Lepisosteus oculatus: one gene and its partner. The protein of the gene in region 1 purifies or fractionates together with the protein of each later gene. This does not show direct contact. Links are inferred from orthologs where the notes say so. Each region holds a gene or a part of one and is shown on either strand. Other genes may lie near its edges. The genes, in order: phf6 and lyar.

Region 1 (16,501 bases):
ACTCGGCTCGTATTACCTTGCCTGTTCCACTCGTTTCAATATCATACTTTTTTTTGGAAAAAACACACGGTTATATCCACCTTTGTGCAGTAACAAGCATTAGACTACGCTAAGAACCAGCACCTGGAAAGGAGATTTACTTGTCGGCACAAATAATTTGCATTTACGCCTGCCGTGCCCAGGTAAACACCAGGAAATGCCTGCTGTCTAACAGAACACAGGAATATAAATTTCACAGGCTTGTACTCCAGTGTAGAATGCAGTTGAAGAACAGTCAGTGCGTGATCTGGCAGGAATGGGATAAGGAATATGAAGGACTGACTGAAGAATACATATTCACACACCTGAAGTAGGAACTCTACTCGTTCCAGATGTGCAAAAATAAAAATAATCCTCACCCCTGCTGGAGCTCATCTGAGAGACTCACCTTCTCACATTTTTTGCCTTCGGAGGTGTCCAGTTTTTCCAAGTAAGCCATGTTCTCTTTTAAGCTCCTAACGATCTCGGCGGGGCTCTTCTGCGATTTTCCAAACGGGAAAGGCATTGCACTGAGGAGACGTTCCCTGTCCAAGCGCGAAGCAGGAGGCACTGTGTCACACTCACCAGCGCCTGAGAGATCCAGAGGGAAAGACAAGAGACTTGAAGGCCCGTGCATGGTGAACGCACGCATGAGCTCCATATTCACACGGCTGTGCAAATGCACCATGTAAAACACCATAAGAAATGGTAAGTAAAAAATATAAATTCACATTTTAAGGCTTTCAAATTTTTCCCACCCACCTTTGTTTAACCTCACACAAAACACTATGGGTAATTTCACTCCAGAAAACTTAAAAACTGTCTCTCCTGCCTCACGCAGCTCTTACAATTTCTTTTTAGAGCCATTAAAAAAAAAGCTGCATCAAGGCTCGGAGCCAGAATGCACCAGGACCCAGAGCGCAGATGCATTTAAGAATGAAAGACTTTCTTAAGCGATCCATTCTCAAGCTTTCATGCTTTTACAGGGATGCAAAGGTGACACCAGGTGAGTGGAGGTTTATCTCCCCTTCTGAATCTCTAACGAGTAAACTTTACACTTAAGAACATGAGAAAAAGGTTACGAAATAGAGGAAGCCAGCCAGGACATCTTGCACTTGTTTAGTAGCTCATCAGTTCTAACATTTCAGCCACGTTAAGCCCAAGCTCTGGGTCTCGGCCACTATTTATTCCTAGGAAGCCTGCTCCAGACACTCACGGCTCTTTGCGTTTTTAATTTCCAGCTGTGACTCTGTCCCGATTTCACCGCGGAGTCTGGCGTGCTCCCCTTCTTTACAGATCATTTATAATTTTCTATACTTGGATCACATCTCTGCTGTTCTAGGCCAGGAGTCTCAAGCTCACTTCCTGCTGTCTTCTGGGGTTTAGCTCCACCCATGTTCACACATTTGCATGGCTGGTCTAGTTATTTCATCGACAGCATAATAGCAATGCTTCCAGCCAGGCTCCGAGTGGATCTGTAGGTAACGGCCCATTTTAGACCTTAAGGAAAATCCTTTAGAATTTTAATTTAGTTACACAACTTATCTGTTTTTCTTACTACTTCAGATTGGAACAGAAGCCACACGATACAGGACCTGGGTTTGAGAACCCTATTAGAAAGGGTAGAAAGTCTCACTATGACAATCCCCTGAGACCAGAGAAGAGCAGGGGAATGTTGCCTGAACTCACATAATATTCAACATGAGGTAGACGGCATTGTACTTTCTTGCAATGTACTTTCATTGCATATACAGAGGAAGCAGCACACCTGCTCACTCTGGCCAGTTCTTCTTCAGATTCTGTTTGAGGGTCACGAGCAAGTAAACACCAGAGAACAACAAGACAGCTGGACAGACAATGAGCTAGGTAACAAGTAAAAAATGAACACAGAGGATATAAATTACTCTCAATCGGCTGATTGATACTTTGGGTTTTGAAACTGCTTGCAGACCACAGACTGCAGCAGTTTATAGTGTTATTCCCAACACACATCCCTTGGTGGAAGGGTATTGCACAGCCCTAAGCAGAAGCAGTAGTAACTTCTTCAATCAGTGAAGAAGTGAACGTGGCTGCTGTGCTTGACAAACCACGTCACCCTCAGCACAGAGCCACAACACATAATACTGCCTCCGGGCTGCAGCGCACAGCTGGAGACGTTACCAGTACCTCACCGCAGCGGGACTCGGACAGCCCGAGAGGGGTACAAGGAGTTTTCACATCAGGAGCCGGTCTGAACGTCCGCCCGGTCGAGGAACCCCCGAAAAACTTTCAGCGGAACTCAGGCCCCGCATCCGCAGGGATCCCCGACGACCTACGAGGACCCAAGGTCACACCAGAGCTACACATGGCGAAGCCGGGGCTAGGCCCAGACCGGCAGGGGTCTTGTTCTCGGCTCTAAAGACACACAGATCGCTCCCTGCAGGACAGCACACGGCAAAGCGCATACGTGGGAACTGCTGAAGGTCTTGGGAAGCGTCCCTGTGTCCCATGAAGGGCTCCGCGCGCCGCTTGGCATTCCTGTGTGAGCTGCGCTCCTAAGGAGGATGGGTGGGAATGAAGCCTCTTCCTGATAAGACAGAGTCAGTCAGTCTGCACCCCCCCCCCTCCTCCCACACTCTCGCTATCTGTGCGCCTCAAGGAGCTCAGCCTGCGGGAGCCCTTTTAACCCCTCGTTCAGGGACATCCCGAGTTCCAGCTGAGGCTGGAGAGAAGAGGGGTTTGCAGGAGTGCATCAGTAAAAAAAAAAAAACTAAAAAAAGTATGATAGCTCATGTTTGCCCATCACAATTCTGGAGCTTTTCCTCTTATGGGTTGTTTGCTATCGGAGGAGGGAGTATCCTCATTTTTTTTCGGCTTTTCCAGCCAATTTGAGGCTTTCTCCACGAATGGAGCAACGATGGGACTTTTTTTTTTCTTTTTTTTTTTACACATGGGGGCTTTTTTTTTTTTTTTTAAATGCTTATGGCAGAACTGTCCTGGAGGTCACACTGGGTTACAACACCAGAAGGGCTGCAAACCGGAGGAGGCCTGTCTGGTAAGATTATCAGAGGGGCTCACCCAGCTGTTTCCTGAGAGAAGCCAGGGTATCGGCTTCAACAACAGGGCTGGGCGGCTTGTTCCCCACCCCCACCTCCCTTTGTGTAACGACGTGACTCCTGTCCTGATTGGAGGATCTCACCCAGCTGTCGGCTTCAGTTTGTTCCACACCCCCACCTCCCTTTGAAACCACACAGGGAGCTCAGTAATCATGCATTCTAATGGCAACAGACACAAAGTTCACCTGGATCCCCCTGCGAGTTCGGATTTCACTAGGAGAGCCGGGGACACAGTGGCAGCACAGACAGAGAGGCCCACACGCGTCCTCTGGAGCTCCCTCCCTCCAACACCGAGCGCTGGGACTCTAAGGACATGTGGTTCTGAAGCGCTTGTGCCAAGCAGTGGTAAGGGAGGCAGAAACTGACGTCATTCACAGAATACAAGCAGAGTGCTTTAAGGGGGGAAAGAAAAAACTAGTCAAACAGCTTAAACCAAACAGAAAGCCCAAAGCTCAGCCAGAGAGCTGCCCTGAACCGTCTGACGTGAGAAAATGGGCACACCCTTGCCACTATAAAGGAAAGGATTATTGGAGCTCACCAGGATCGAAACATGTTTTTTATTTTAAAAAACTGCTGCTAACGACCTTTAACCTTAGGGGGATGAGTGGTGGCTCTGTGGCTCAGGATCTGCGCCTGTGACTGGAAGGTGGCCTGGAATCCTGTTCCTTTGGGCCCCCGAGCAAGGCCCTTAACCCCCACTGCTCCAGGGGCCCCGTATAAATGTCTGACCCTGCGCTCTGACCCCCAGCTTCTCTCTCCCTGTCTGTGTGTCTCATGGAGAGCAAGCTGGGGTCTGCAAAAAGACGAATTCCTAATGCAAAAAATTGTATATGGCCAATAAAGTGATCTTATCTTAAAAGACATACTTTAACCCAATAAAGCTTCGATTTCCCCCATGTCTCCCTGATGCGAGATACAGAAGGAAGGAACTGTAGAACAGTCAAGAGGCGAGAGGAGGCCTGGTTGCCAGATAGACAATCACTGATCCCAGAATCATCCAGCTGTTTCCTGAAACCAGCTGGGGGCATGCATTGGCTTCAACAAGGACTGGGCCACCTTGTTCCACACCCCCGCCACCCTTAGTGTAAAGAGGTGCCTCCTTTTCCTCAGCTCTAAACGAGGCAGCCTCCACGTGTGCCCTCTGGTTCGTGTTTCACCGTTCGTTGTGAAGATTGTGTTGACTGTGCCAGGGCCCTAACCGTTTTTGAACACTTGCCTCAGTCGTCAAGACTAAAAAAAGTTGAATTACGCCCCAGAATTCAACTGGTTGTTCTTCTCTGGACAGATTACAGAGCAGCAATATCTTTTTCTCTAACGTGTTTACAAGCCCTCCGATTCCAATAACTGGAATTGTGCCCTTTGACCTACTGTTATCTGACAAGGACTTGAATTCAGTTTGTCCATCATGCTGTCCGGTCAATGCAATATAATGAATCCGTTTTCAGCATCTTACACCGGTGTACATGTATGAGAAAGTAAACTCCAGAGAGGAAAAAAAACAAAACAACATTTTACAGGAATCTATCTGCGTGCGCCGTGAACAGACTGTTTTTCTATCCCAAGTGTAAATTTGGTATCTTTAAACGCTAGCTTTCCACCCATTAAGGACTGTCCACAGTTCGAGCAGATGGCAAGAGACAGGGGTCCATTAGGGAGAGACACCGAGGTCGTTTTTTAAAAAAAAAAAATCCGAGAGCTTGTGGTGGAAGCAGTGCCATCCCTTTAATGGAGCTGTCGCGGCAGACCCATCGATCGAAAAGAGCATTAGCGTTAACATCGCATTAAATAACGCGAGTGACCGCTTTAAAAACAAAAAAAAAACGATCGCTAGTCCAGCCTTCTGGCTCAGGCATGAAAGTAGGGGCGCCTTTTGAACTACTCCGATGGCACAATGACACAACAGGATAGCAGATAAAACGTTCGGCAAATATGTATAGATATATTTAGTCCACTGACCGGATCTGTCAATACCGTCGGTCAAAGCCAACCGCCAGCAGATATTACACCGCACTACAAACACGGTCTGAGAAGTTATGCTGAGGATGTTTCAACAGCTATGTAACATCTGCTTCTGAATAAATAAAAAAAAAGAAAGTGACGCAAGGTCGCCCCTCAAAAATGTGACTCGGCCGATATGCATCTATTTTTTTTCCAAGAAGAGTTACTGCGCAGCTCTGCAACGGGGCAGGGTTGCAGAAGCAGACGTGACGGGTTTCTGACAGCTCGGTTCGAACCACGGAATTATACCTCGTTTGGAGAAACACCGGCATGAGCAACATACCTTAGTGTCGGGGGGGGGGCGCTTGTGAGCTTCCGAAAAAAAAGCCCCCCCTTACATCTGTCCGTGTTAACACCTCGCTGTGTGTGTGTGTGCGTCTTACCGCCGCCGCTTGTGTGACAGTTTTCAGTTACCTAGACCAGCTCCCTCGTCTCCGCCTCCTGTCCCTACGCAGTTGAATGAGCTGGTATTTTTCCAAAGTAATATCCGGTGACACTCGATTGTCTTCACTTTAAAACAAATACTATCGATCACCTCGCATAAAGACGTAGCAATAATTCAGCTGAATGTAAAAGTACCAGAACATTCTGAGGAGACTCTTGTCTTTGTTGCTGTGACTTTGTTTTCTCCTACCCCCAAAAAAAAATCGAGAACAATTTTGTTATCAACACCGGAACAAACGTGACATTTAAATGAAGGATGCGAACTTTTACAGCCCAGCTGAGCCAGGGGATTTCACTGGGCCGCGTTTGGTTTCTCTACCGGTGGCTGCCCGCCGGAGAGCTAGTATTTCAAATAAATTAATGATCACCCCGGACACAGGCGAGCACCGCTTCCGACAGCCGGAAAATATTAAAACCCAAAAGACAACAGAACGATCTCGGGAGGAGGGAGACAAACAACTAGTTCTACTCACCGGACTGGCCTTTTACGGTTCCTTTAACCAACTGCAAAATGTGAAGTTTAAACTGAGAACGTCACTATTGTCTTCATCCGTAAACTGCTGCTGCTGCGTGCTCCTCGTCCGCGAGGCGTGGCGATCTCGCCCTCAGCCCGGGCGGCACTCCTCCTCGAGCTCGCTCGGGCTCTCACGCGCACACACCCTCCCCTCCTCCCTCAGTGGCTGGGCGGAAAGCGTGCGCGGGGCTGGCGAGCGCCCCGGGTCACGGACTGACACTGCTCTGGGCCAATCAGAGCCCGGCAGCCAGCGAGGGGGCGGGGCCTGCGCTCGTTCCGCGGGGGCACTGTCCTGCCTGCACGCAGTACGTTTTTACGCCCGGAACTACCGTGAATCCATTAACACTGCCTGGCAGAGAACATTTAAAAGAAAGGAAAAAGTCGGTGAAAGATACCGCATTTGTTTTGCACGCTTCAGCTGAAAATAAAGACTTTCCAAATACAGATTTTTGCAATAGACCAATCTACTGTATTTCAGGGTATAGGCATGACCTACACTACATTTCACTCAAAAGCTCATATAATCACAGTTTCCTTGAGCGTCACAAAGTGTTGTACACTTCCTCTTTTGTTCATTTAAACGTTTCTACGTAATTTTTTCAGTGGAAAAAAATGGTTACTAACAGATCAATGTATACACATTTTTCACTGTCCAAAACACATCCATTGTATTTCCTCAAGCTGATAATGTTAGAATGATCCTGCTTTGAATATCCTGGAACACCTCAGCACTGTGATAAGGCAGAAAAAGTATATCTATCTGGGTACAATATCTTGGATCTGTGGTACATAAACGAGTTTAACCAGTTTTTCAACCAGAACTCCCAACAGGATGTCCACATGATGGGCAGAGAGCAGTTTGCCACGAGCCCTGGATTACTGACTTTGATACTGTGAGACGACTGGCCGTTGGTTGTACATATTACCTGTTAATCAAAGTAATTTCGTCTTCCCCTCTCATAGATGAGCAATGTTTTCCACTGAGATGCACATGCTTTTTCAAAGGAAAACCAGATAACCCTCATGACGCATGTCCCCATCTTCCTAGCAGTGTGGTTAAAACACCACGTGGCCCACCTGGTTAGGTGATACCAAAACAGGTCACGCCAACAGATATAGACTTGTTGCACAGGATCTTTGCTTAAAAATGGTGTATGTGGCTGCAGACGAAGGCACCGAAACAATATGACCTGCTAATCCCTTCAGTGAAACGAACAGCATGAGACTTGAACCGTGTTGCCCTATTCTGGTGCTGCAGGACCCCTGCGCCTTTATTGATGGGTTTTATTGAGGCTGAGTTTTTTTTTTTCTTAATTAAGTTTACTGAACCTTTAGTTGGCACACTTTTAAAAACCACTGCCAGCTCAGGAACACTAACAGAAGGCTAGAATTCAGGACAGACCCTGTGCAGACAGTGGGTTTCTGAATCCAGCTCATTGTTTTGGGTTGGTAGCTGGCCACTGGGTCAGTACAGCACTACGAACGCCTAGAATCTGAGCATTTACCAGCGTTATTCTCACATCTTTACTTAGTAACCAATTTGGTTGTTCAGACGCTACGTGAAAGCAATCGTTCTAAGCCTAGCTGAAACAGAGACTGGTTTGTTAGATCCATCCTCCTATTTTCTAACTGCGAGGGAGCTGGAACCTATCCCAGCATGCAACAGGCAGGAAGCAGGGTACACCCTGGACAGGACACTGGCCCGTCACAGGACACACACACACCCTGGACAGGACACTGGCCCATCACAGGACACACACACACCCTGGACAGGACACTGGCCCATCACAGGACACACACACACCCTGGACAGGACACTGGCCCATCACAGGACACACACACACCCTGGACAGGACACTGGCCCGTCACAGGACACACACACACCCTGGACAGGACACTGGCCCGTCACAGGACACACACACACCCTGGACAGGACACTGGCCCGTCACAGGACACACACACACCCTGGACAGGACACTGGCCCGTCACTGCTATTGAGACCCGAGCAGAGGAAACAGTCCAAATGAAGCAACTGGCTCAGTTCATGGCTGAATTATTTTACCTAATTGAGTTAAACTGAGAGCTCAGCTAAAGCCATGACCAGAAAAAAACAGTGACCCCCAGTTATCAGCTCTTATATGTTCAGGTTTTTCCGAAAGCTGTTTTATTCCTAGGAGAGCAGTAGTAAAGATCCCAGATTAAATCCTTCAGCACTTGCGTTCTCTGATCTGCCCCTCGCTGTACTTCTGTAGCTACACTGACACCTACAGAGATAAATCGCAGTTCGTTTATCTTGATGTCCAAACCAGCGCTGAAGGCCTCTTCCTGGTGATAAGGCGATGTAGGGGGACCTGTTACTTTTAACCCAACACAGCGTAAAGAAACAGCATATTCTAGTCAGTAGCCCAATACTAGGCTCCCTACCAAATGTCTGTGACTTGCAAATGTGTCATAAAATATTAAGAACCGCTTGCCGGCATTTATATAGGAATATTCATCCCAAAGGATCCCAAGGCACTTGACACACGGTGCATCCCAGTACACAAGAGCAGTTCGGGCAGGAGAGTGAGATACTACTACGAACTGAATCAGGAAGAAACGCCCTTACCCCCATAAACAGCGCGCTGGAATCTATATATATTCTGTAGGGCAAAACCTTACATCCTTTGAAATCATTGCTTTTTAAAGAATACTGCAACAACTCTAATTGCCATCGTTGTTTTTGTATTTGCTATGATAATACAACCGTTTTAGACACCGCGGCGGTATTGATCATCACGAAGCCAAAGCCGAAGCCGCTTTCATGATATCAACGCCGAGATAGTTCGCGACAGCACGAGACCCTCAGTCACCTTCCCCCACCCCCCCCCCTTCTGGTTCGTCGGCGGGCGCGCGGGTGGACGCGAGCGTCCGGAGTCCGCCGCGTGCGTAAGGGGCGTGTCCGCGGCGAGCGCGCGTGTGTGTTTTTTTTTCCCAGAGCGCAACGTCATCCGAATGATGCGCAGTAGAAGCTGAGAATCCGCGAGCGAGCGCTACATCGCAATAGAGGGGGAAAAAAAAACAAAACAGGACGGACGCCTTTTTTTTTTTACCCACCCACCCCGCCCCCCCCTCTCCCCTCCCCACAAGCAGTGGAGCAACGTGACTGTGACACTGAGACGGTAGAAGGGTAAGATGTCTGTGTTGCGGCCTTTATCAGCCTCCCCGGCGGGGTAGTGTATCTGGGGCCGGCGGGGTAGGGCTGAAACGGGGGTGCCCTCCGTCCCGGGGTGCTGAACGCGAGGCGTGCCGCATGCTAACGCGCCCTCCCCGGCGGCGGACCTGCCCCCCGGACCGCCGGCGCCGCGGCGGCGGAATGAATGGAGATGCGCTAGATCCTGCTGTCGTGCTGCATATGCGCGCTCTTACGGCCTGTTCACTCTCCCGCCCCCCGCCGCCCCCCAGAAGAACTGAATTAACTGCAGCCGAGAGCGGAGGCCCTGCCCGGACTGAGGCCCTGCTGGGGGGGGGTGCGTGGAGACGGAGGGGGGGTGTTTTAAGTTGTCCTTCGCATTGAAGTAAGGGGTACGGGTCGAGGTTGGAGGGAGACGGAGCGGGCGGACGCGGCGGCGGGGGTCGCACCTGGACAGCTTCGAAACTCAAACTGGGAGAGGTCTTCACGAAACAAAACCAGCAACGACTTCGCACTCGGAACGTGTGGTTTTATTGACGCATGTGCCCGCCACCTCCCTCGTTACGGACCCGGCAGTTTTGAGCACGTTTTCCCAGCTGCACGGGGGGGGGGGGTGGGGGACAAGTTGAGGTTCGCGCGGAGTTGGTGAGGTTTGTGTCTCGTTACTTTGACAGCTCTGCTCGCGCGGCGCGCGGCGCGCGCGGGTTGCCCGTGGAGTGGGCAAGACGAATAAAATAAAATACTTAGTATCAGTGTTAAGATAAATAACACAGAAATAGTTTTGGGCGGTGGTGGGTTCGTGCTCATGCGTTGATCAGGTTTTGCAGTTATTATTTTTTCCTCAATCGGGTGCAGTTTATCGATTATCGCTCAGTTTTTTAAAATAAAAACATTGGTCGAGATGGGTTGCACCAATATGAATAAATTAACTGTAATATGCTCAGCTAAAATGTAACCATTACTGTATTTGTACAAGTGGAATAGTAAATATATTTCTCGAGTGAAACGTTTTAATATTTTGAGGTTTTGATTTTAGAATCGCCGGTGGTGCGCTCGGAGCTGGAGAGGCGCTTAACTGTTAAACGACCCGCTGTTTTAACCGGAGCCCAGAGGGCAGTGTCAGCCGCCGCAGTCCTGGGGGGGGAAGAGAGGCTCTTCGGCGAGCTGGGAGTGCGTGTGTTTGCCATTTAGCGTGTGTGCGCTGTGCCACGATACCTTCGTTTTCTGGGAGTAAAAATGTGCAGTTTTCCCTGTCACCCGGAGCTGGACTTCGGGACACCTGGAGTCTCGATGGCAGCGTGGGTCTGATGTGATTGGCGTTACTGGTTAAGACCAGGGGCGTGGAGCAGCCTTCTGCCCCAGGGGGGTCGTGTCCTTAAGAAATCCCACCTCATCGGGAGCCTCTGCTGTTTTAAAAACAGCGGAACCCCAGGGCTGGACTGTGTTGCAGGGTGATGTCATGAAGGGCCGAACTGTGAGACGCGCTGACTGTGTCTTGTTTGTCACGTTACCCGAGTTGGGATAAGTAGTCCCCCTTAGCTCCATGTCCCGCCCGGCGTTAAGAGGCAGAGGGGTCCCCGGTCCGGTGCCCCTGCGCTCACTCTGTGCCCGCGGCTGTCCTGCCCCCCCACAGGGCCGGGTCGGGAGCTGAGCGTGCTGTGGCCAGTGGACCATGTCCGGCTCGTCGGGGCAGAAGAAAGGGCCCGCGCGCCTGCGGAAATGTGCCTTCTGCAAGACCAACAAGGACAAGGAGTGCGGCCAGCTGCTGGTGGCCGACGGCCAGAAGGTGGCGGCGCATCACAAGTGCATGGTGAGGGACGGCCGTCCGGACCGCGCGCGCTTGAGGGGTTCGTCCTGGGGGGGGCGGGGGGGCAGTACAGGACCTGCAGGAGACTTCGGGAAGAGAACTCTTGAAAGCGCTGCTCACAGACCAGGCAGACACTTATAATAATAATAATAATAATTGCTTACACTTATATAGCGCTTTTCTGGACACTCCACTCAAAGCGCTTTACAGGTAATGGGGCTCCCCTCCACCACCACCAGTGTGCAGCCCCACCTGGATGATGCGATGGCAGCCATAGTGCGCCAGAACGCTCCCCACACACCAGCTCTCAGTGGGGCTCCTTATTATTATAAGTGTCTGCCTGGTCTGTGAGCAGTGCTCGGTGAGCTCGGTCAGGATTGCACCTCCTGTCCTCGCAGCCGATTTTGCCACAGGGAGACTTCAGATGATGTACACACGTCTGCTCTGAAACGGGTTCTACACCTCCACACACAAAAACCCCCTGATGGGGTCACGGGTTTTATCGGGGCTCTTTCTGGGCGAAGGCCACCCGTGTGCATTAAAAAAATATATTTTTTTTGGGCCGGCAGACGGGAGTGATCATGTTTTCTTGTGCGTTACGAAGGTGTCCAAGATGGGGGTCTCGGATGTGTTTAACAGGAAAAACGATATGCCGGTAACCTTGAGAGTCATCGCACGTCAGACTTGCAGGCACAGTCGTCCGATTCTCCTCTTTCAGGTGTCTTGAAAGTCCTGCCAGTAGAGATGTCTTTTCTACTCAAGGACTCTCGAGTCTTCGAGCTCTGAACCTGGGGTTATGTCTAGGCAGAATGGCGAAGTAGACCTCACTGACAGACCGCAGGATTGAGGCGGAGACTGGCCAGAGTCCGTCTCCTCGAGAGTGAGGGAGGTGTAAATCTTGTGTGCCACTGAAAGAAAATTGAATTCTGGCCACATTCAGGGTGTGTACTCTGCAAAGCTTAACTGTGTGCGAGTGGGGGGGGAAAAATGAGCTACTTTTCTGAATTTCGCCACACAGAGGACGGTTCGTGACTGAACTCTTGAGTCCTTGTAGCTGCGTGGTTATCGCATGCGTGTCCAGCGTCTCGCTCATCATCGTCATAACGGGAAAGCGCATCACGCCGGTGGTTTGGTGTATCTGTTTAAACCGGATGGAGCAGGAACCTTTCTCAGTGTGAAAAGGCCGCTTCCCGGCGTTTTCCTGGGAACGCAGCCCTCCTGCGCTCCTTTGCTGGGAGCGGCCGGCCCGGCCCGGCCCGGCCCGGTTCACTCCCCTCTCCCTGTCCCCCCTGTCCCGCCAGCTCTTCTCCTCGGCCCTGGTGTCGTCCCACTCGGACAGCGAGAACATCGGGGGCTTCTCCATCGAGGACGTGAAGAAGGAGATCAAGAGGGGGAACAAGCTGGTGAGTCTCTCGCCCCCCCCCCCCCCAAGGGTGCGGCGGCGGCGGCGGCGGCTTTCGGGGTGACCCACCCCCCCCCCCCGCCGCGGACTCCCGTGAGTCTGTGAGACGAGGACACAACCGTCTCATTCGTACATCCCCCCCGCAGAGAATCCCTTCAAAGTAGAGTCCCGTTCCTTCACGGGAAAACCCGATCCTCTGCAGACCCCCTCCCCCCGTTCCTCCCCCGCTGCGCCGAGTCCAGAGCGCGCTGGGATTCTGGGATTCTGGGATTGACGTGTCCGTCCCTTTCGCAGATGTGCTCTTCCTGCCACCGGCCCGGCGCCACCATCGGCTGCGACGTGAAGACGTGCCGCAGGACCTACCACTACTACTGCGCCCTGTGGGACAAGGCCCAGATCAAGGAGAACCCCTCCCAGGGCATCTACCTGTAAGGACGCAGCGGGCGGTGCGCTCCCGGCTGGGCCCGGCTGACCTCCTTCAGTCCTGGGCCCGGGACTACAGGAGAGTGCCGAGTATCCCACCTCAACGGGACCGGGAGTGTGTCGGATAATTGACGATGTGGGATAATGCGGGATAATGAGTAGACAAATCGTAGATGAATGGACATGCAGTATGCGTATGAAATCTGGTGGATTAATCCACTGTAATGCTAAAATAACGAGAGCACAGCACTATTGTTCGCGATTGTTTAAGAGAACGAGCGCTTGTTTCCCAGATGCGCTTCTCTTCCCTGCGCCGGGGTGTCGCCCGCGTCTCGGTAACATGACATCAGCAGCGGCCGCTTCGAAAATACAGGAGGCAAAATAATCATCACGAGCGCGAAGTCGGCAAACGCAGCTACGTCCACGTCAGTACGTGACCCAGCATCGGATTGGGCAAAATATGCACGCACGCGCGCGAGCAGTGTACAGTATATACACTGTATATACTTACATATATGTCGGATAAGCAAAGGTCGGATAATCGCGTCTCTACCGTAGTTAGAAATGATCAGCGAGAGCCCAAACGACTAAGGTCCTACAGCTCTTGTGGGCTGGAGTTAAGTTCTCCCGCCCTCTTGCCTCCTGTAGGCCATCCGGTTGCGCACGACGTCTTCTTCCGAACGTTTCGGCTCGTTTCTTTCTGGTTTCACGTCGTCTGCGCCCAGCAGAGGATGAGGAGCGTGCCGGCTGCTCACCTGTCTTTCTGATTCCTTCTCCTGGCAGGGTGTACTGCCGCAAGCACCGGGATGCTTCGCAAGACTCCAGCGAAGGTAGGAATGTCCATCGACGTCTTTCATTCAGTCCTTTCCTTGCCCCCCAATTTCTGTGTTTATTTTACTCGCAGCCTCGCAGTCTAGAGCACACTGCGTTGAGCGTAATCGCTTGAGGGGTCTCACGACTGTCTTTGTAAAAGCACAGTGTAGTTCTTGGGGTGACGTGATTAGTGGGGTGCCACAGGGACCTGTACAAGGGCCGCTGCTCTTCTGAATGTGTGTCAGGGGTCTGGGCTCTGGTACATTTACAAAGAGGATTAACCTGCACTCCAGGGGCACCAAATGAAATTCAAAAAGATTTAGATGCAATTCAAGACTGGGCAGAGGCGACACCTGGCAGGTGACCTTGAATGTAGAGAGGTGCAGGGTTTTTGCATGCAAGTATTGGAAAATACTTGGGAAAATGGGAAACGCTGATCTAAAAGAGGCAACTTATGATGTAAATGTGTCAACATAAACATCTTCCAAAGAATGTGGGGAAGCAATTAAAAAGGCAAACAAAGCATCTGGATACGTGGATAACAGTTTAGACGATTAAAGGGATGTTGTGTTAGAATTGAATGATACACTGTTAAGGCCTCTTTTTCAATACTGTTTAGAATTTTTTGCCACCACATTATTGAAACGATATTGCTCTCTGGAATCACTGCAGACTAGAGCAGCCATTTATATTCAGGGACTTCAAGAAACGTCCTGCACTGACAGTCTGGAGCAACTGAACTCTTTTAAGAAACAGATGTTTCTTTCTTTTAAGAAATGGATCCTGGGATCAATTAGCTACTAACTACCAAATGAGCCAGTTGGGCCAGATGGCCTCCTTTTGTGTGTAACGTTTCTCATGCTCTTGTCCTCTGACCTTTGCGTCCTCTCTTGTCTTGCAGATGAGCTAGAGGGTGTGGCCAACGACTCAGACTCCTCCCCTCCCCGGGGGAGGGGGCGGGGGCGGTTGGAGAAGGGGCGGGTCAAAGCCAGCTCACGGGGCCAATCGGAGGACACGCGCTCGACCTCCTCGCATGGCACGGACGACGTGGAGATCGCGTCGCATGTGAGACATCGGCGTTCCCTAACCGTGAACACCTAGCCGCGCAGAAATGGCTAACCTGGGTTATCCCCCCCACGCGTGAGTGAACGGCGCCCTTGTGTGGTTCTCTGTGTAATCTCTGGCTCTCTGTGTGAAGCGGGACCGGTCCCCTCTGCGAGGCAGCCCCAGCGACACCGGCCCGCGATGCGGCTTCTGCCACGCGGGGGAGGAGGAGAACGAGACCCGGGGCAAGCTGCACGCCTCCAACGCCAAGAAGGTCGCCGCCCATTACAAGTGCATGGTACGTCAGGAAGGAGCCGGGGGGGGCTGTTCGCCCTCTCGTGAGCCGGCGGGGTTGTGTGGAACTCTTCTCAGACCTGTGGGGCTGGAGCATTGCTTATTCTGTGTTCTAGACCTTGGGGGTGGGGGGGCATTGCTGCTCTGTTTTCTGGGGCTGCGTCCCCTGGAGCGCCGCGGTTCCGTGTTCCGGGAGCGCTGCGTCCCCTGGAGCGCCGCGGTTCCGTGTTCCGGCAGCGCTGCGTCCCCTGGAGCGCCGCGGTTCCGTGTTCCGGCAGCGCTGCGTCCCCTGGAGCGCCGCGGTTCCGTGTTCCGGCAGCGCTGCGTCCCCTGGAGCGCCGCGGTTCCGTGTTCCGGGAGCGCTGTGTCCCCTGGAGCGCCGCGGTTCCGTGTTCCGGCAGCGCTGTGTCCCCTGGAGCGTCGCGGTTCCGTGTTCCGGCAGCGCTGTGTCCCCTGGGGCGCCGCGGTTCCGTGTTCCGGCAGCGCTGTGTCCCCTGGAGCGCCGCGGTTCCGTGTTCCGGCAGCGCTGTGTCCCCTGGGGCGCCGCGGTTCCGTGTTCCGGCAGCGCTGTGTCCCCTGGGGCGCCGCGGTTCCGTGTTCTAGCACTGCAGGGAGTGTAAGATGAGTGACTTTTTAAAATGAAAACCACGACAAAAAGCCCTTCTGCTTTGCTGCCGTTGCCCTGAAGCTGGGGGGTGACGCGTGTCCTGGCCGGGCCGCCGGGGGGGGCGAGGCAGGGAAACAGCGGGTCTGAAGGCTCTCTTAACGTTCGCTTCCAGCTGTTCTCCTCCGGGACAGTGCAGCTCACCACCACCTCCCGGGCGGAGTTCGGCAACTTCGACATCAAGACCGTCATCCAGGAGATCAAGAGAGGGAAGAGGATGGTAAGGGCCGCTCGCTCGCTGGTCAGTCAGGCCCGAGCTCTGAGGAAATTCAGCGTGGAAATGAGATTCTTACCGTACGGCTAGCACTGCGCTGGGGCTGGCGGAGAGCGTGCATGTGTGTGTGGGCAGGATGAGGCTGAGAAACACTGAGGCAGACCAGTGGCTACCAGCCTCCTGGTCCTGGAGGGTTACTGGCTCTATATCGCAGAGTAATCAGTGCCACTCTTCTACCTGGGGCACAGCTGTGAATCTGTTCTGGGCTCTTGAAAGGTGGAAGGGGATTTGTCACAGGTGGCAACCCTGTGGCAGTTCCCGAGTCTCGGGACCTCTGCCCAGGGATGCATGTGTGTGTGTGTGATAACCTCCCTCCCGCCTGCTGCTGTTCGTCCGGCGGCTCAGTCAGTGGGGGCTGTGTAGTCTGAGGGGCAGGGTAAGGTTCTGGTACCTCTGTGCCCCAGTCTGTTACCCCGGGAGGGGGGGGTATTTCTGACGCTCGGAACTGACCGAAGATGCAAGTTAAGATCGAAGTCTGAACAAGCAGGCGGGACAGTGCTGTTCCATGTTCTAGGACTGCGTGGAGAGCTGAGCTGGAA
Region 2 (16,476 bases), on another chromosome or scaffold:
AGAGAATAAGAATAAAAGTATGTATACAGCATGACAAAATGAAGTGAGGATATTTTGCCACGGGCACCATTTTGTAAACATCCTTAAAATTAAGAAATGAAGAGAAAGGATACATCTGTTCAAACCTAGAAGTGACCTAGAAGACAAAAGTGCTGCAGATACAGAGCTGAATCCCATGTCCACATTTCTTGCAATTTTGTATTTACTGAGATTATCCAATCATCTCAGTACAAATAGCTTAGAAAGAGCTGAATTAGAGGAACTCTCATGAGGTATAGTGAGGTATACCTATAGTATTACTGCACATACACATAATGACTCACCTACTGAAGACCGAGTGTTATTAATACTGCTCCTCTGCCCACTTTGGCCTAATTATCTTCAATTATCACAAGCTATTGTTACAGGGAAAGCGCTTTAAAAAAAAAAAGTGAAAAATAACACAAACATGAACTACTCCTTTAAAATGTAACTTCTATAAAATGCAAAAATCAACAGACACTATTCCACTGCTTCATTCCTAAAATGAAAATAAAGTAAAAGCCTATGAATAAAAAAGAAACACATTTACAATAGTAAGATGCATATCAAAAGATGCCAACACTACACTTTTAATTCAAAGGTCAAGTACTGAGATTACATTACTTCATAATTTTACATCTGATGTCCTGTTTTCGTTAGACCACTTTGAGGGGCATGTCAACTCAACAATCTGAGTTGAGGGCATTTCCAGTGATGCTGGGGTACATCTGAACCTCATCAGGTTGGCAACAGTACAGTTTAATGTATCAAACGCGAAAATGAGTTCCAGCTGAACCAGAGAGAAGTATCCTTACACAGGGTGTAGATGCAAGGTCTTGAATTGCAGATGGCAATTGCAACAGTATGACGCCAAAGGAAATAAATAAGACATTTGTTTAAGGATAATAAGAAATTTCAAACACTCCTTAAATGTATAGACAAAACCATCATTAAAGAGATTTTAGTGAGCACTGTTTAAAATCTGAAAGCGATTAAAAAGCTTTGAAAATCATGCACAAAGACTACAAAAAATGTAAAATAAATTAATGTTCATCACAAGCCATGTTTAGCTAGAGCAGCAAAATTATCTTTCACCATTCTCACGAATACAAGCATTATGATTATGGTTTATCTCATGGTTACTGATAATTTCTATTATTTCTATTAAGTTACAAAACTTTTTTTAAACCCAGTTTAAAGTAAAAGCATTCTTTTTACCCTTAAAAAGCTTTGCCTATCCAGTAATTTCTAAGTTTCCAAATAATGCTGGGAGAGGTTTCCTTGTTTTCATCATTCACTTATAAGGAACTGTCCCAACTGCCTCGGTGATATTGATGGAGTCTGCTAGGAGAATCTGTATGTTACCCTGTACCAATATAGTGGTAGGAGCTGTGAACTCCTGCTGAATTCACATGCTAAACTCTAACCTTCATGCTTGCTTGAGCACAGATGCTTCTCCCCCTCTGTACTAAACCCCCATCCTCTGTAAAAAACTCCTTAATAAGGAAGGAATATTTTAATTGCTCTCCCAGACCTTGAGTTCCTTGAGAAAGTACCTCAAAGAAAGGAATAGGTGGGTATATATAAGCTGTGGAGAGCCATATCCCCTTTGAACAACAACAATAATCCTCATTGTTGTTCCTTGTATGCATACAATAAAGCTTGGAGAACGGACACCTCAGGCTCAAATCTCTTGGTTTCTACAATATTAATCATGTGACACAAACACAGCAGCCCTGAGTAGGAGGTGACTAAAAAGACATCACTCACCAGCAGCAATGGGTACTGCATAATTCCAGGTACCCATTTACCAAAACTGAGATCTAGAAAACCCTGGACAACTAATCCCATTTTACAATTGGCAGTGCTCAGTTGATTGCACACTGCTGCATGGGAGATCCAGATAAAATCAGTTAATGACATATTTCAGGTTCAAACTTGTGTTCGTGGAGCTCAACATGGACTTAAAGACACCATCAGAGCTCACGTCTTTAAAAGAGATTTTGAGTTACAACCAAACCACATGTTAAGGAGCTTTCAGCAATTAAAAATTTCTTCTTAGGCTAATTCTTTCTGTTCCTAAACCCGAAACATCATATGAATTTAGAATTCAACTGTCCCATGACAAGTAAGCACCTCTATTAAAAACAAAAACCTGGTGACAATAGCTATGCATAACAGCGAAGGCTTTTAGAAACCCACTTGACTTTAAAGGCAGTGCATCAACTGTAGCTGAGCAAATGCAGTGGAGATGCAGGCAGCCATCTTTAGCTACATTTCTGCCCAAAATTCCAGCTCCGATGCATACCAGATATCAAAATAAACTTGCAAGTCATAAGTACAACAAATTCATAAAGTTATTAGGACAATTACAAAATGATTTATAGCAACTGCACCAAACTGTTTCCCCCTGGATAAAGGGGGAAAGTATCCTTTCTTTCTCTCTTAATCATGGACTGCCAGCTGCTGCTACTCTCTCTCTTGCTCTCTACCCCCTCCATGATCAGCACGCACACACCTGTTAACCATTACAGGACAATAAACCCTGGTGAGTTTGCAGCTCTGCTCTCCTGTACCTCCTTCCTCACTTGCCAACACAGCTAGGGAAAATAAGGAAGGATCGCTGGTAATTCTTTATTGTTCACCCAATTGCCAGGAAAGTGTTGCTTCCGACTTATGCAAGACTCGGGCTACATAAAGATTTGAGGAACCAAACCCGTAGGTAACCCAGGTAGTGGGTGAATAGGCATTTTATCTGTGATATATGCCTCCCCCCCCTCCTGGTTGCAGGTGCAGTCCTTTAGGATTCTCATTAAGTCCTTCCGTAAAGCATGGGAAACTTGGGCCTGTTTACTGGTCTCCAAGATCTAGATGTCATACGTCAATCCAGCTCATCCAACGCTCATTTTGGCTAAGGCCTGGCAAGTAGTACGTCTATGGCATAACTGTTAAGATTCTCACCGCACAGCAAAGCTGTTGCTTTTTGTGCAGCCTGAGGGCATGCGGTATAACACAAAAAAACACACTGGGATGAGCCAAGAAAAAGGCCAGCAAGAGAAATCCCAGTACATAATAAACACAGCACTATACAATGAGGCTGTCATCAATCAGTACAATTGGAGCTCTGTGGTGACTATACACTCCTACCCAGACTCCATCATACTTGAAACCCTCCACTGACTGGTCTCAAATTCACAACAATTAGCACGTTAACATCGTTCCACTTGCCGTCTAACTTAAAACAACTCAATGGAATAATAAGAATCACTTTCTTATTAAGTGACATTTTGCTGTTTCTTCTTCTTTTGTAGGATGTAGTGTTCATGCAATAGTCAAAATTCATTTACATGCATCACAGTCAATCTAAATGATGCCAAAACATTATCAATATCCAAAATGCATATATCTATACTTTACTTCTCATAATAAAGACACAGAATCTTACCTTTGAGTGTTTTACTTTGTAAAGTGCTAGTGGAAACTAATGCCTGTTAAAGAACAGCATAATATCACATAATATCATTATATCACATTTGGAATAACAGACAAGCAAACCAGTTCACTTACCTGAAACTTTCCTTTTTTTCTTGGAACATTGTCGTAGGAGCTCACTTGGGACAGCACCTCACGTAATTTTGGACTGATTCCTGGTTTATTCACTGCTTCATGGATTTTCTACAACAGATTATTCTCATAAATATTACAGGCAGTTATTTCTCGTGAGAATATTTACGATAACCGTGTAAGAATTGTGAACAACAAAACATTCAGGAGCCTGAACGATATGAAAAGTAAATCATGAGAAACATTACTAACATTACAAAAGAGGCTTTGAACACTTACCCTTGAGTTCCAAAAGCACTTTCCATTTTCCCTAAATTCACATGCTGAAATTATCTGAAATCATTTTTTCCAAGTTTAGCAAATAATTGCTCAAAGACAGTTGGGAAATGTGCTGAATGGGCCCCTTGAGTGGCTCAACAAGGTAATAGTGCTCATTCCAACCACAGGCTGTGCTTGAGCCAATTGCTTAATGCTGACCAGGATTGACCACATGGTGGCAATAGAGGGTTTAGACTGCTCAGCCAGAACTCTCTTAGCTCCCAGTAAAAAAGCAACCACAGTGATTTCCTGGATGCTGGCAGGTCTGGGGTGATGGCAGAGATGTGTATATATTACTGTCAATCAGTACTCAATGTCGTTGTAATGTGTCAAAAGTTGAATAGCAAGACAGGGGGCCTATTTTTTGTCCATGTGGATACAGGGGTCAGTGCAATTCAACTTGTTTTTTTATTAATAAAAATAATTGCCCACTCAACCTTAAAAAAATAAAACAAAAGTGCAGGACAGTTGCATCCCAACACATAAATATTTTACATGATTAAACTTTCAGGGAAAACAATATCCAGTTAAAAATGTCAAAATGCTAAAACTTTTTAATTTCACATAACCTGAATGATAATGACATTTGTTTACAACTATTCAGATTCAGTCCAAACCCAAGGATGCTGTACATAATGATAAAAATACAAACAAGAACACACAAAACAATTCATAATACACTCAGACATAGACGACAGTAAGAAGACGGGTTTTAGGTTTACAATTAAAAACAGAATACTAAATTACAGAGCACATAGATTTTATACTGCTCTGTTTTCTAAAACAAAACACTTAGTTTAGTGTTTTATTCTATAATAAAAGACATCAATGATTCTTTTTCTCACCCGCCTAGTGACAAAAAATACTTAATTTGAAATATAAAAACAGACGTGATTTACAGTTTTATAAAACATTTATCTATGATAGTACAAAATTTTCAAGCTGCATTTTCAATATACATCAGATCTATCATGATGATAAAATTAGGTTGCAGCAGACTTTCATGCCCTATGAACAAATATCGAGAAGTCTGATGTAGTCCTGAAGAAGTGACAACACTGATCTACCTGAATCCACTGCTGCTGTTTCACATCTCCCTTGTTACTCTTGGCTTCATAGCTTTTGCCTCCGTATTTCTGATCTTCACTGATGCATTTAAGGTGCGTTTTATAGTCTTCTCCCCTGTAGCAAAAAAACAACAACAAATGCATTATAATCCATTAAATGTGTTGAAGATTATCATTTCCTACAAGGATACTGTTAATATTTCAAATATTTTTAAGGTAGAAATATTAATACAGACTTAAACGGGATAGAGTCTTGTATGACTTTTGTGTATACAAGACTCATCAAACCAAAGTAGGGAAACAGTAAAAAAACAAACAATGCTAGGTTACATAACTAAAATCATCTTATTAAAATTAAATGAATTCAAGGGGTTTTATATTAAAATTGTACAATGCACTAGTAAGACATTCAGCATATCACATACAATTTTGTTTACCAGAATAGAAAAATTAATATTACTGCTCATTTCAAAGAGGAGTCTGATTCTTTTAAGTGAATGAATGTACTGCCAAAAGAACAGCTGTTTCTTTTTAGTCTTGGATAAAATATAGAAAAAGGGAAACTTGGTTCTGATATTGGAAATTCTCTAAGGCGTTAACAAAGTAATTTGAAAACATTTAACCATAAACCAAAGGTAACAAGTGAAAAGTATGCAGAAGTTCATTTAAAACTGAGAACAGGAGTCACTTCTTTCAACAACGAGTAGGAACAAACCTGGATTTTTTCAAGAAACATGTGGATGAGATCCCTAGATCACTTAACCGTTAGGAACCAAACGGCTTCCTCTTGATAGTAAGCGGTATTATTTTTTTTCGTTCTCAATTAACTAGGATGAAATACAATAATAGTAAACCTATTTTATGCGGATTATAAAATAAAAATTAACTTCGATTTGTTATTTAGTGGCTTTCAATGAGTGATCCTTAACGAAGGCAACGTTCCGCACGCACACACTGCAAACTACATTAATTCCACCCTTCCAGCAGAAAAAGAAAAAAACGAATCTGGGAAGTAACATATTTTGGACCTTAAAAGACCTTAAAGTAACATATTTTGGACCTTAAAAGATACTCACCAGAAATCCTTACCACAGTCAATACACGACAAACACTGACAGTGCCGACAAATATTCAGGTGTTTATCTACTTGTGCCCTCTTTAATGATTCTCCACATGCATTGCAGGTGAAGAAAACCATCCTGAAATACTTCGAATTTGGAACACAAAAATAATATTCCCCAATCAGATCTTTGCGACCCTGGAACCATAAAAAAAAACACGTGACAGCGACTAGGGTAAATGAAAAATCTTAAAATTTTAAATTCTCTGTATTAAAGATTTCCTAGTGAAAACACAGTACTGCAATGTTGATATTTTTACTTTAATTAAACCGTTCGTGTACATGTATACGAAATTAAAACTACATAATCATTTACTGTTTTAAACGTCCGAATTTACAGATCACTTGAACATACCTAGAGCAACTTCACGTGTTCCGGATAAGCAGTGTTACACTATTTACATTCCGTGGGAACACCGCACCCAAATTGATGTTCCCAAAAGTGCTCTGGATTAGTTTTGAATATAATCTTGTTGATATCGGTCGAAGAATAAATCGAAATTTTTACTTAGTCTTATAGTATTGACACAATATTAGTGTAATACGTTCAAGTGGCAATAAGAATGTACAAAATAAACTTTCAACAAAGTTAAAAAAAGACTAAAAACGATAATGGGTTATTGTCATATTGTATATACTGAATAATTATCGCGGGCAAAACCTAAATCCCTTTGATAATATACGTTTTCCGGAAATATATTAAACAGAAAGTTGCTCAGTGGCAAAACACTTTTGTTCCTAAATGAGATTTCCAGGAAGAGGATTCCAGACTTGCCATTCAGGATTCGTGTAGAGTGGAACTGGAAAAATTGTGTCCTCCTGAGTTCACATGACCCGCAAAACTGTGTTAATTGCTTATATTCATTATACTAGAAAATGAGGGCTTGGTGTTATTAACAGTTTAAACTTAAAAAAATCAGAAGGGAACCGTAACAACAGACTTAGCTCGGGCACAGAACAGTGAAAAATCCGTATTCGTGATAGGTTTTAAAGCCACTAAAGGGAGTGCCTTTACTATTTTGAAAGTGCATAATTTACTTTGGACCACTCCCTTAAATCAATAGTATCTAACCAAAATAAAAAACAAAAATCAACACACCTTTTTATCCCCACATCATTATTTTATCTCTAACCGCTAGGTGGCGATTTCGATCACAGTTTGTTGCGGAAGTGAGGTAAAGGTTCAAGAGGACGTGGTGACTGATCATCCAAACAAAACGGGAAAGAAGGTATTTTTTTAAAACATATCACTGAATTAAACTGTGCTTTGTTTAATATGTAACCTGTTCTGAGGTTCTGTAAGTGTGCTACAGAACCTGATATATACGTGTTTTATTGTCTGTTTTATATATTTGAGCACTAATTTATTTGCCTGTTGTTCTATGCTGGGCCTATTTTTGTCTTGGCAGGTCTCTTCAGTTTTTATATCTGGGGATACTGAAATGAGATAAAGGCGCCGTAGCTTGCGTGGTTTTTCTGCAGGCAGAAAGAAAGCAGCCACTTGGGTCAAGTGTGGCTGTGTGTTGTGTTGTTTAGTGGCCGAACACGTGCGGTGAAATTAACCAAAACTGCTGTGACACTTTCAGATGAAGAGTCACAGACGCAAAACCATTTCGCTGCAGCTGAAATCTTGAAGCTGTACTTGATTTCTGATATTTCACATTTTGTGCTCTCCATTAAGATGAAACGGTGCCTTTTCTTTCAATGTCCCTCACATTGCACCCTGGTGCATACTACACAGTCGTTCGATTCATATCGTACTTGGCCACTGTAGCTCGGGCTACACGCTCCCTCTAACTCATTCAGAAGCTTCTGTGTTAAAAGAATTGCTTTTTTTATAGTTTCCTTAAGATTTAAATGGCGGTCTCGTCACCCAGGTGAGGTGAATGAAGTAGTTCCCCTTTTGTATGTTAAGTGTTTTAGTTTCGTATGGGATGAAAATCTGTATATAAATGAGAGGAACTGTTATTCCTTCTACTACAGTTGTCCTTATAATTGTAACTTGCAGGGTATGTGCACTCATACTTTGTTTTTTTGCTCAACAGCCTAGTCATGTATGTGAAACCTGATGAGAATGGTCCTGGTTCTACGGGTGAGCTATGGAATGAAGGTTGAGCATGGAGTCTCTGTCCAGTCACAGCTCTTACCTACTTCAGCAGCTCCAAGAGCAGCGTATCCAGGGCTTTCTGTGTGACTGCATGCTGGTTGTCAAGGGAGTCTGTTTTAAGGCCCACAAAAATGTCTTGGCTGCCTTCAGTTCATATTTTAGGTAAGTTTACTAGCGCTAAAACATTCAGTAATGCTGAATATATATGGCTGAGCACTTTGTATTATGCATATGTTGGTAATTTCATTGTTAAATTGGAATGAAATGTTTAAAAAACTCTAAATCCTGGGTTTTAAAAAAAGCTACAGTAAGTAATATTCCAACTTTATGAATACATTTTTTGTTGTTGTTGTTGTTGTTTTTTTCTCCAGGTCCTTATTTCAAAACTCACCCGGTCAGAAAACTGATGTTTTTCATCTTGACATTAAAGATGTAGGAGGAATTGGGCAAATTCTGGATTTCATGTATACGTCCCATCTTGATCTGAACCAGGACAATGTTCAGGGAATGTTAGAAATGGCTCAGTGTCTCCAAATACCAAATGTGCTCAATATGTGCAATAATTTCCTGAAACCATACACTCCAGCCATAGAAGCATCGGGAAGCCTCCCTGGTAGTTCCTCATTCTCATTACCAGGTGTTTTGGCAACAGATACTGAATGCATACTTGGGGCCAGTTTGTCTCCTGAGATGGAGTTGCACGGCTCCTCTGAGGCTCAGAAACCTGCGTGTGCCACTACAGACATTGATCTTTCCAGAAGACCACAGACACATTTGCAAACCCCGGCCTTTGAACCACTGAGTGGTGCTTCAGTGATCCCAGATAAGCAGTTGAGTCATGGTTATAAGCTGCGAAACTTTTACAGCAAACAGTATTTTAAACAAAATGCAGCTCTGAATGGGGCTGTAAATCCACCTCATAGTACTGTGGTAGGGGAGCACTTTTCTTCCAGTGTTACAGACACAAACCCTCCAGTGGATATGCCTGTGTCAGCTGTCAACACGGCACATTGTGTGTCTGAGTCAGCAGGATCCTTGGGGTCTAGTTTTGTCATGTCTCCAGCAGTGGAGCACAATGCAAGTCAGAGCTCTGCAGGTGAGGGCTCTCCAATTAATAGGCAGGTTCGACCAAAAAAGGCAGTGTACCTTAAGAAATACGACTACCTGAGATCCCAGAAGGCTTTGGAGGAGTCTGTTTTACAGGCGGACGGGATAGCTGACAGCGCCCCGAAAGAGACAAATCAGTCTGAGCCCAGGGGCAAGGGGGCTAACGACCATTCCGCTGACAGCCACAGTGCAGAAAAGGAAAGTAAAGCTGCCCCCGCGCCGTGTTTGCAGCTTCCAAGCGCCTCGCTCGCACAGCTGGACGAGCCTGAGCACAACCCGGCAGCTGGCACGGCAGATGCTGCCCACCTCCAAAACTACCAGAAGCAATATTGTTGTGAGATGTGCGGAAAGACATTCAAACATCCCAGCAATCTGGAGCTCCATAAGAGGTCACACACAGGTAATTGGGCGTCAAATGGTGCTCTGTTGTTGTTGTTTTTTACAGAAACTTTATGAACTGCACATGCCGACAGGCAAGGTGCTTTTAAAGTTGGCCTTTTCTGACAACTGTGTCATGAGAACAGTGCTCCATGCAGAAGTGAACTGTTGTTATACAAATACAAATAGGACAATGGGGAACACTTTGCACTTGGAGTATAATTCCACTGGGTGCTCGCAGGGGAGGTGCGCTGGCTGTTTTACATCCCAGGAACACACTGTATTCCCTCTTGTTGATGTTGATGATATCTTTTCCGCCTGATTTGTTCAGATATTGCCAGGGTGAAGTGATCCTATGATCTTATTTATCCATCCATCCATTTTCTACTCACTTTATCCAATACAGGGTTGCAGGGAAGCCGGAGGCTGTCCCAGCAAGCAAGAAGTGAAAGGCAGAATTGATTTTATTTAGAAGTTTACCAAATTTTCATTTCTTTACAGTGTACTTTTTAAACAAGACAGTTGTTTGAATGGGTCAGCCAACTTGATAGCCCCTGAGTTTCATTGTGATTTCTGTTTGTGAACTGCACAGAAAAGCTCAATTATAAGGGACAAGAAGGAAGTGAATTTCCATTGAGATTCCATTGAGACTGGAAACAGCAGGACTTTATCGGGCACAAATCTGGTTATCCATCTATCCATTTTCTAATTGCTTTATCCAGTACAGGGCTGGGTGGCAGTCAGAGCCTTTCCTGGCAAGCAAGAGGCACAAGGCAGGATAGATCCCGGACAGGTCGCCAGTCCAAAGCAATGCACACACAATCACAAACATGCACACACTCACACCAGCTCAGGGCCAATTTTCCCAGAAGCCAGTTAACCAACCAGTATGTCTTTGGACTGTGGGAGGAACCCCATACAAATGTAATGCGCACAACTATCTCCACCTAGACAGCACCTCAGGAATTGAACCCAGGGCTCCAGTGCTGCAAGGCAGCAATGCTAACCACTGCCCCACCATACCACCCCAAATCTGGTTATGTCCTCTTTAAATGCAAGGTGCTAGTGTCATTGTAATGTGTTAGGATTTGGACTGGGTGAGACCTGAGGAAAATGTCATCTGGTACATTCAAAGTAGAAGAGTAAATGAAAAGGGACCCTTTATCTTGTCAGGAATAGAAAGGTGTGCTGTGTATTTTGTGTGATTGCAGAAAGGCTGCAGTGCGAAGGGTAGAGGTTGGTGTTTGGTCTTTGTGTTTATTTCTTCAGTGATGTGTGCTTTTCAGAAGATGAAAAGATTTCTGGAATGTCAGCAGGGAAACTCTAGCATGCCAGGCTTCTGGGGGGGGATGAGAAATGACTCATCTTGATGAACTTGCATTAGTGTTTTTATTTTTCCATTACTGGGAAAAAAAGTACCACAAAACATTTAATACAGACTTATTTAAAACATAAAATATTCAAAAGACATGATCTGTGATTCAAAGGAACATATATATTATGTGCATTTTTTACATAATTTCTATAAAATATAAAGAAGTTTGAACTATGTTGACCTGTTCAATGGTCAAAAATTAGACTACTAAAAGTCCAAGCAAATCACATCTTGATTTTTATAATAAGATAAGATTTTATTGTCCAGTGAGGGAATTTTTTTTATGGACACCCAGCACTACTGTACATTTAAATAGAATGCAAAAAAAGAGAAGAAAAACATTACACATTATACTATTACAAAAAAATAACAAAGAAAAACATTGCACATCATTCTATTGCACATGTACAGTATAACACATAACAACATGTAACATTTATAACACATCACAAAACATATTGCACTCTTGACATTTGTATTGACAGCTTTAATGGATAGTGGAGCAAAGGAATGTTTGTATTTGCTTGACTTACATTTGGGAACCCTAAAACATTTGCTAGAAGGAATAAGTGGATCTTCAGAGTTGAGGATGTGGGAAGGATCTGATAGAATTTTTTCCTGCCTGCTTGATTATGGATTTTTCTGCTGATTGTCTGCTGGGAATGGTGCTGTTTCACTCCCATGACCTTCAAAGCTGTCTGGATGAGGCGGGTAATTTGCGATTTAAAATGAACTGATAGATGACCAAACCACACTGAAATACCACACATGATAATGCTCTTGATTACAGCATGGTAGAAGAGTAGCATTACTTCCTGTCAAACCCCAAACACTCTTAGTCTTCGCAGGAAATATAAGCGCTGCTGAACTTTGGAGCAAACACTCTCAACATGAGTAGTCCAGCACAGGCTACAGTCTATGTGTACACCTAGGTACTTATATGAATAAACCTAAGTGATAAGTTCGTTGTGGATTACCACCTGTGAGTGATCACCAACTGTTCTGGGATTGAAAAGTATTTCTTTTTGTTTTTTTGCATTCAAATCAAGGCTATTGGTGTCACACCATTGCACAAATCTTTGGATTTCCGACATGTATACAGATGAGCTGCTACCTCTATGCATTAAGCCAAGAACAGCTGTATCATCTGAGAATTTGAAAATGAAGTTGCTTTGACTACTGCTTGTACAATCGTTTGTATAAAGTGTGAACAGAACTGGAGAGCTCACACAGCCCTGAGGGGCACCTGTGCTAATAGATCGTGACTCGGAAAGAGTTTTGTTAACCCTGACATACTGTGTGCGATTTGTTAAAAATGAATGGTACCATCTTATAATGTTATCTTATAATGTTATGATTATAATAGTTAGTAGTAGCTGTACATGTACAGGTACATGTATATTTAATGATAATGACTACATTTGTTTTGTGTAAAAGTGCTTTTCAATACACTGTAAATCAAGAGTTTGTGCGCTTTCATGTTGATTGTTATCATATGAACTTCATAAGCTGCAGAAGCTCTTGTCCCTGCTATTGATACATTCAAGTTATTCTGAAGCTTATTTATCTACAGAAAATATTTTGTTCCTGCTTGACAGTTAACTTAGAGATAAAAATATTTATGGTAGCTGCTAGAACAGTTTTTTTGTTTGGTTGTTTATTTTAGTTCATATGAAAGCTAAGCATAATTTGATATTCTTTTACCTCATGTCACAAAGTTATAGAATGCTACATTTTCACAAAAAAATTAGGTATTTTCTGTTTAAATGAATCATGCTCTTTGAAGTTTATATATATCATAATCTCATAGACTTATGGAAAAATAAATGCATGCTTTTTGTATTGGACTCAAGGATTTTCAAAGCACCCATCCATGCATGACATTTATGAAGAAAATATTATGTTACACTCACTAGTGTATCATAGTAAAATGTCTACTGTTTCAAAAGCTCAGTATAAGCATTTTGAGTGAGGGGAGGGAGTTTTCATTTGACTCTAAAATCAAAACATTTTCTTGCCCAAGGCTTTGTCAAAGTCTGTATTGTGGAATATTGTCAGCCTTTTAATCTTGCTTTATTTGAATGTAAGGAATTAAACATGATGCTTCAGGGTGTTTTATGTGGGGTTTTGTAAAGCTTTGAAGACTACGATGGGATCAGTTTTTTATCTTTAATGTAGACTTAAACCTACTTCATAACACTGAACTTCTTTAAGCAATCCTTTAAACTACCGTATAGTGTAGTTGGCATGGCACACAAATCAAAAGGCCTAGTTTCAGATGATTTTATGTGTGACTCCACACTGACATTACAAGATTAAGATTAATTCTTAATTAATTAAGGTTTCTGGTATAGGCTTCCGATTACTGTAACCATCACCAGGAAACTCTGTTTGCTAATTAATGGATGGATTAACCAGTCCTTAAACTACAGCTTGCACTGGAATATTTTGTTACTGTGGAAGTCTTAAACTTCAGTGTAGCCAAATTAGTGAGAGATGTCTGTGATAACCTGATGTTTTTAATCATTGAATTCTCTTGTCTAAACTACAAGGTTAAAGCTGGGTTGTGGGGTTAAAAAAACACTTGTGTTCTATGAGTGATAAATTGCATAATTTTTATGAAGTTTGTCTGCAACCAACCATGCATGTTTCGAATAGTAAGGCAAGAATGTGTGCTTATGAGTAGAGCCATTCCCAGTAAGATATCCCATCAGGCTTGCCAGTGCACCAAACTCCCTGTGTGCTTCACATTGTGCAGCGTTTCAGAACTTTCCACCACAGCAGTGTTTAATATTGTGATCAATTAAACTGTGCTGTAAGAGTTCATGGGTGAAATGTTAAAATTAGGTGATGTATTGTTTCTATTAACAGGTGAGAAACCTTTTCAGTGCAACATCTGTGGGAAAAACTTTTCACAGGTAAGCTACTTTCAGTGTGATACGCCCTTGATTGTAGAGCACTATATAGTCAATATTTCCTTGGAAGGGCCATATTTATTTCTCAGTTGCCCAGTGTCTAATATGGGCAACTGAGAAGAAGAAGGCTCCACGGCCGAAACGTTGTGTTCTCTTTCTTCTTTTTTTCAGCATGGAATAAACCTATTACTTGTTCCTTTGCAGCCTACGCATGCTGACGCAGCTACCCACCTGAACTACAGTGTTTAATATGTTCTCTTACAAAAATAGTGAACAGTAGATGGAGAAAGGGGATAGCAATTGAAGAAAAAGCTGACCAAAATTGCAAAAAGGAGGGAACATAAATATTCCTTTTGCTTTCTGATTAGCTACTGTCTTTTTAAACCATCTGGAAAATGTGTGGGGTGAAATTTCTTAGAATTTTTAAATAAAGTAAATCTGAATGAAGTTCAGTTTGATCACTGTTCCACTTTTGTATCTGAATGAACCAGGCAGGTAATCTACAGACTCACTTACGGCGACACTCAGGTGAAAAGCCCTATATCTGTGAAATCTGTGGAAAAAGGTAAAATCTGTTGTTTCTTTCATTATACAATACTGAAAGTAGCTTATTCATGGGAAGATGTTGATGCTTGATACTGACCATTGCACATAAGGCATAGTAAGCATCATAAGCATTTGATGAAGTACTATCTTTAATACAAAATCATTTTTCTTTAAAAGTGCCTTTTTTTAGTGAAGCCAATTGATTACATTTAATTATAAAGATGGTATTTAATTATAAATTAATTATAAATCTACTGTATTAAGTCTATTCCACATACACTTTTGATACACTTAGCAATTGTAAAACAGCACTTTATTGGGGGGGAAGAATTGGGAGAATTATTTAAATATTTTCTTTAGGAAGGGCATTATTTAAATGAAGAGGAACAGAAAAATGTTCCATTCAAAACTTAAAAGAACTTCAGTTCTATATACTTGGAAGTGTAGGACAGTCCTCTGAGTCCTGGAATGTTCTTCAATCTTTTTCTTTGAATTGATTTAATAGCAGGTTTGTCTTTTGTCAGAATTGTGCACAGTACTCTAAATGAGGATTTAGTTGTGCAATATGCATAAAATGTATTTATTGTTATGTTTGTATCATTTAATGGATAATGCCTTGAATATTGTTTAAAAACACTTAAGGACCTTTAAGTTGCATATTCTGAAATGTATAGGTTTTGTGTACTATAACATGTATTACTTGCCTTTAGTTATGAATTAGTGTTAGTTTTTTTGGTTCTCTGTTCAGGATTGGGCATGAAAAAAGTAACTTTCCCTCGATTTACAGTTTAACTATCATGGATGAGATTGTTTCTATTTTTCTTTACAGTTTTGCTGCCTCCGGTGATGTTCAGCGGCACATTGTGATTCATACAGGAGAAAAACCGCATCTTTGTGATATGTGTGGTCGAGGTAAGTTAATTTTTTCTGTATCGTCTCAGTATTTCGCAAGAAAAGATAGAGCAACTGCATTTGCAGTTTCTTCTCTCACTGCTGAAAGACAAATCAAATAATCTTTATTTTGTATAGTACCTTTCACGATACATCTCAAAGAGCTTTTAAATAAAATACACACTAAATGTAAATGTTTAATTCTAAAATAAATTAATCATGAATATAGAAGTGTGTTTTAAGACAGGATTTGAAAATGTTTGCCAAGATATGAAATAGGTAGGGAGATTATTCTAGAGTTTTGAGGCAACAGCACAGAAACCCAGTCTCCCAGTATTTGCAGCTTTGTTTTGTGAACTGAAAGGAGATCAGAGTAAGTGAACAATATGTAGCTATATAGAGAGTTAACAATTTACTGAAGTACTGAAGCCAAACCGTTCCATCTCTTAAAAGGTGAGCAGCATTCATTTAAATTTTACTCTAAAACCTATATGGAGGCAGGGCAAGGGATCTAAAATAGTTGAGATGTGCTAATGCATTTCAGTTGTACTGTAGTTATATTTAGGCAGGCCTCCAGGGTGGTTCAGCCAGTAAAGGCCCCTATAATTCAGGAATCGCAGGATTGAGGCAGGGTCATGTCGCTAGCAGAATGAAACTGAGTTCCCCCAAGCACTGGTGCACAAGTGGCTGAGAGTCGCCAAGGTTAGGGTGAAATTTGCAGACCAGGGCTTTGGAACGTGGACTGATTCCAGCACCATCATTAGTCATCTAAGGAAAACAAATTTGCAGAGTTTTGCTTTAATTTCATAATAATAAGAGTGTGACAGTGTGCAGAGTGTGCAGACAGTGCTTGATTAATGTCAGGATTCATGCAAACATCTACAGTATTTGGGCATCATCAGCACAAACACAAAATCTAATTCCTGTGCAGATTGTGAACTAATGGCATCATAGATGTTAAAAATAACTGGACCAAGAACAGAGCCTTGTGACTACTTTGTAGAGTAAGAACTATGACCAATTTGAACAGACTCTTTTCTGTCAGTTCAATATTTAAACATCATCAA

Evidence for each region.
Region 2: the proteins of phf6 (region 1) and lyar purify together in Homo sapiens (affinity purification with mass spectrometry; 3 studies listed by BioGRID and IntAct, with this or other methods). This does not show direct contact. The link is inferred for Lepisosteus oculatus from reciprocal best matches to the Homo sapiens genes PHF6 and LYAR.

What each region holds. Positions count from the first base shown.
Region 1 is NC_090703.1:48,794,602-48,811,102, forward strand, and holds the start of phf6 (PHD finger protein 6), read left to right. Parts: upstream 1-9,049; 5' UTR 9,050-9,238; intron 9,239-9,248; exon of another isoform or gene 9,249-9,891; intron 9,892-10,874; 5' UTR 10,875-10,913; coding exon 10,914-11,051; intron 11,052-12,349; coding exon 12,350-12,451; intron 12,452-12,744; coding exon 12,745-12,878; intron 12,879-13,656; coding exon 13,657-13,703; intron 13,704-14,587; coding exon 14,588-14,751; intron 14,752-14,884; coding exon 14,885-15,028; intron 15,029-15,803; coding exon 15,804-15,908; intron 15,909-16,501. Other genes in the region: cab39l1 (calcium binding protein 39, like 1), read right to left, coding at 428-544.
Region 2 is NC_090696.1:43,710,807-43,727,282, reverse strand, and holds the start of lyar (cell growth-regulating nucleolar protein), read right to left. Parts: upstream 6,539-16,476; 5' UTR 6,446-6,538; intron 6,229-6,445; 5' UTR 6,169-6,228; coding exon 6,047-6,168; intron 5,086-6,046; coding exon 4,971-5,085; intron 3,697-4,970; coding exon 3,589-3,696; intron 1-3,588. Other genes in the region: zbtb49 (zinc finger and BTB domain-containing protein 49), read left to right, coding at 8,208-8,359, 8,569-9,704, 13,929-13,975, 14,464-14,537, 15,348-15,430. UniProt on the Homo sapiens protein: Plays a role in the maintenance of the appropriate processing of 47S/45S pre-rRNA to 32S/30S pre-rRNAs and their subsequent processing to produce 18S and 28S rRNAs. Also acts at the level of transcription regulation.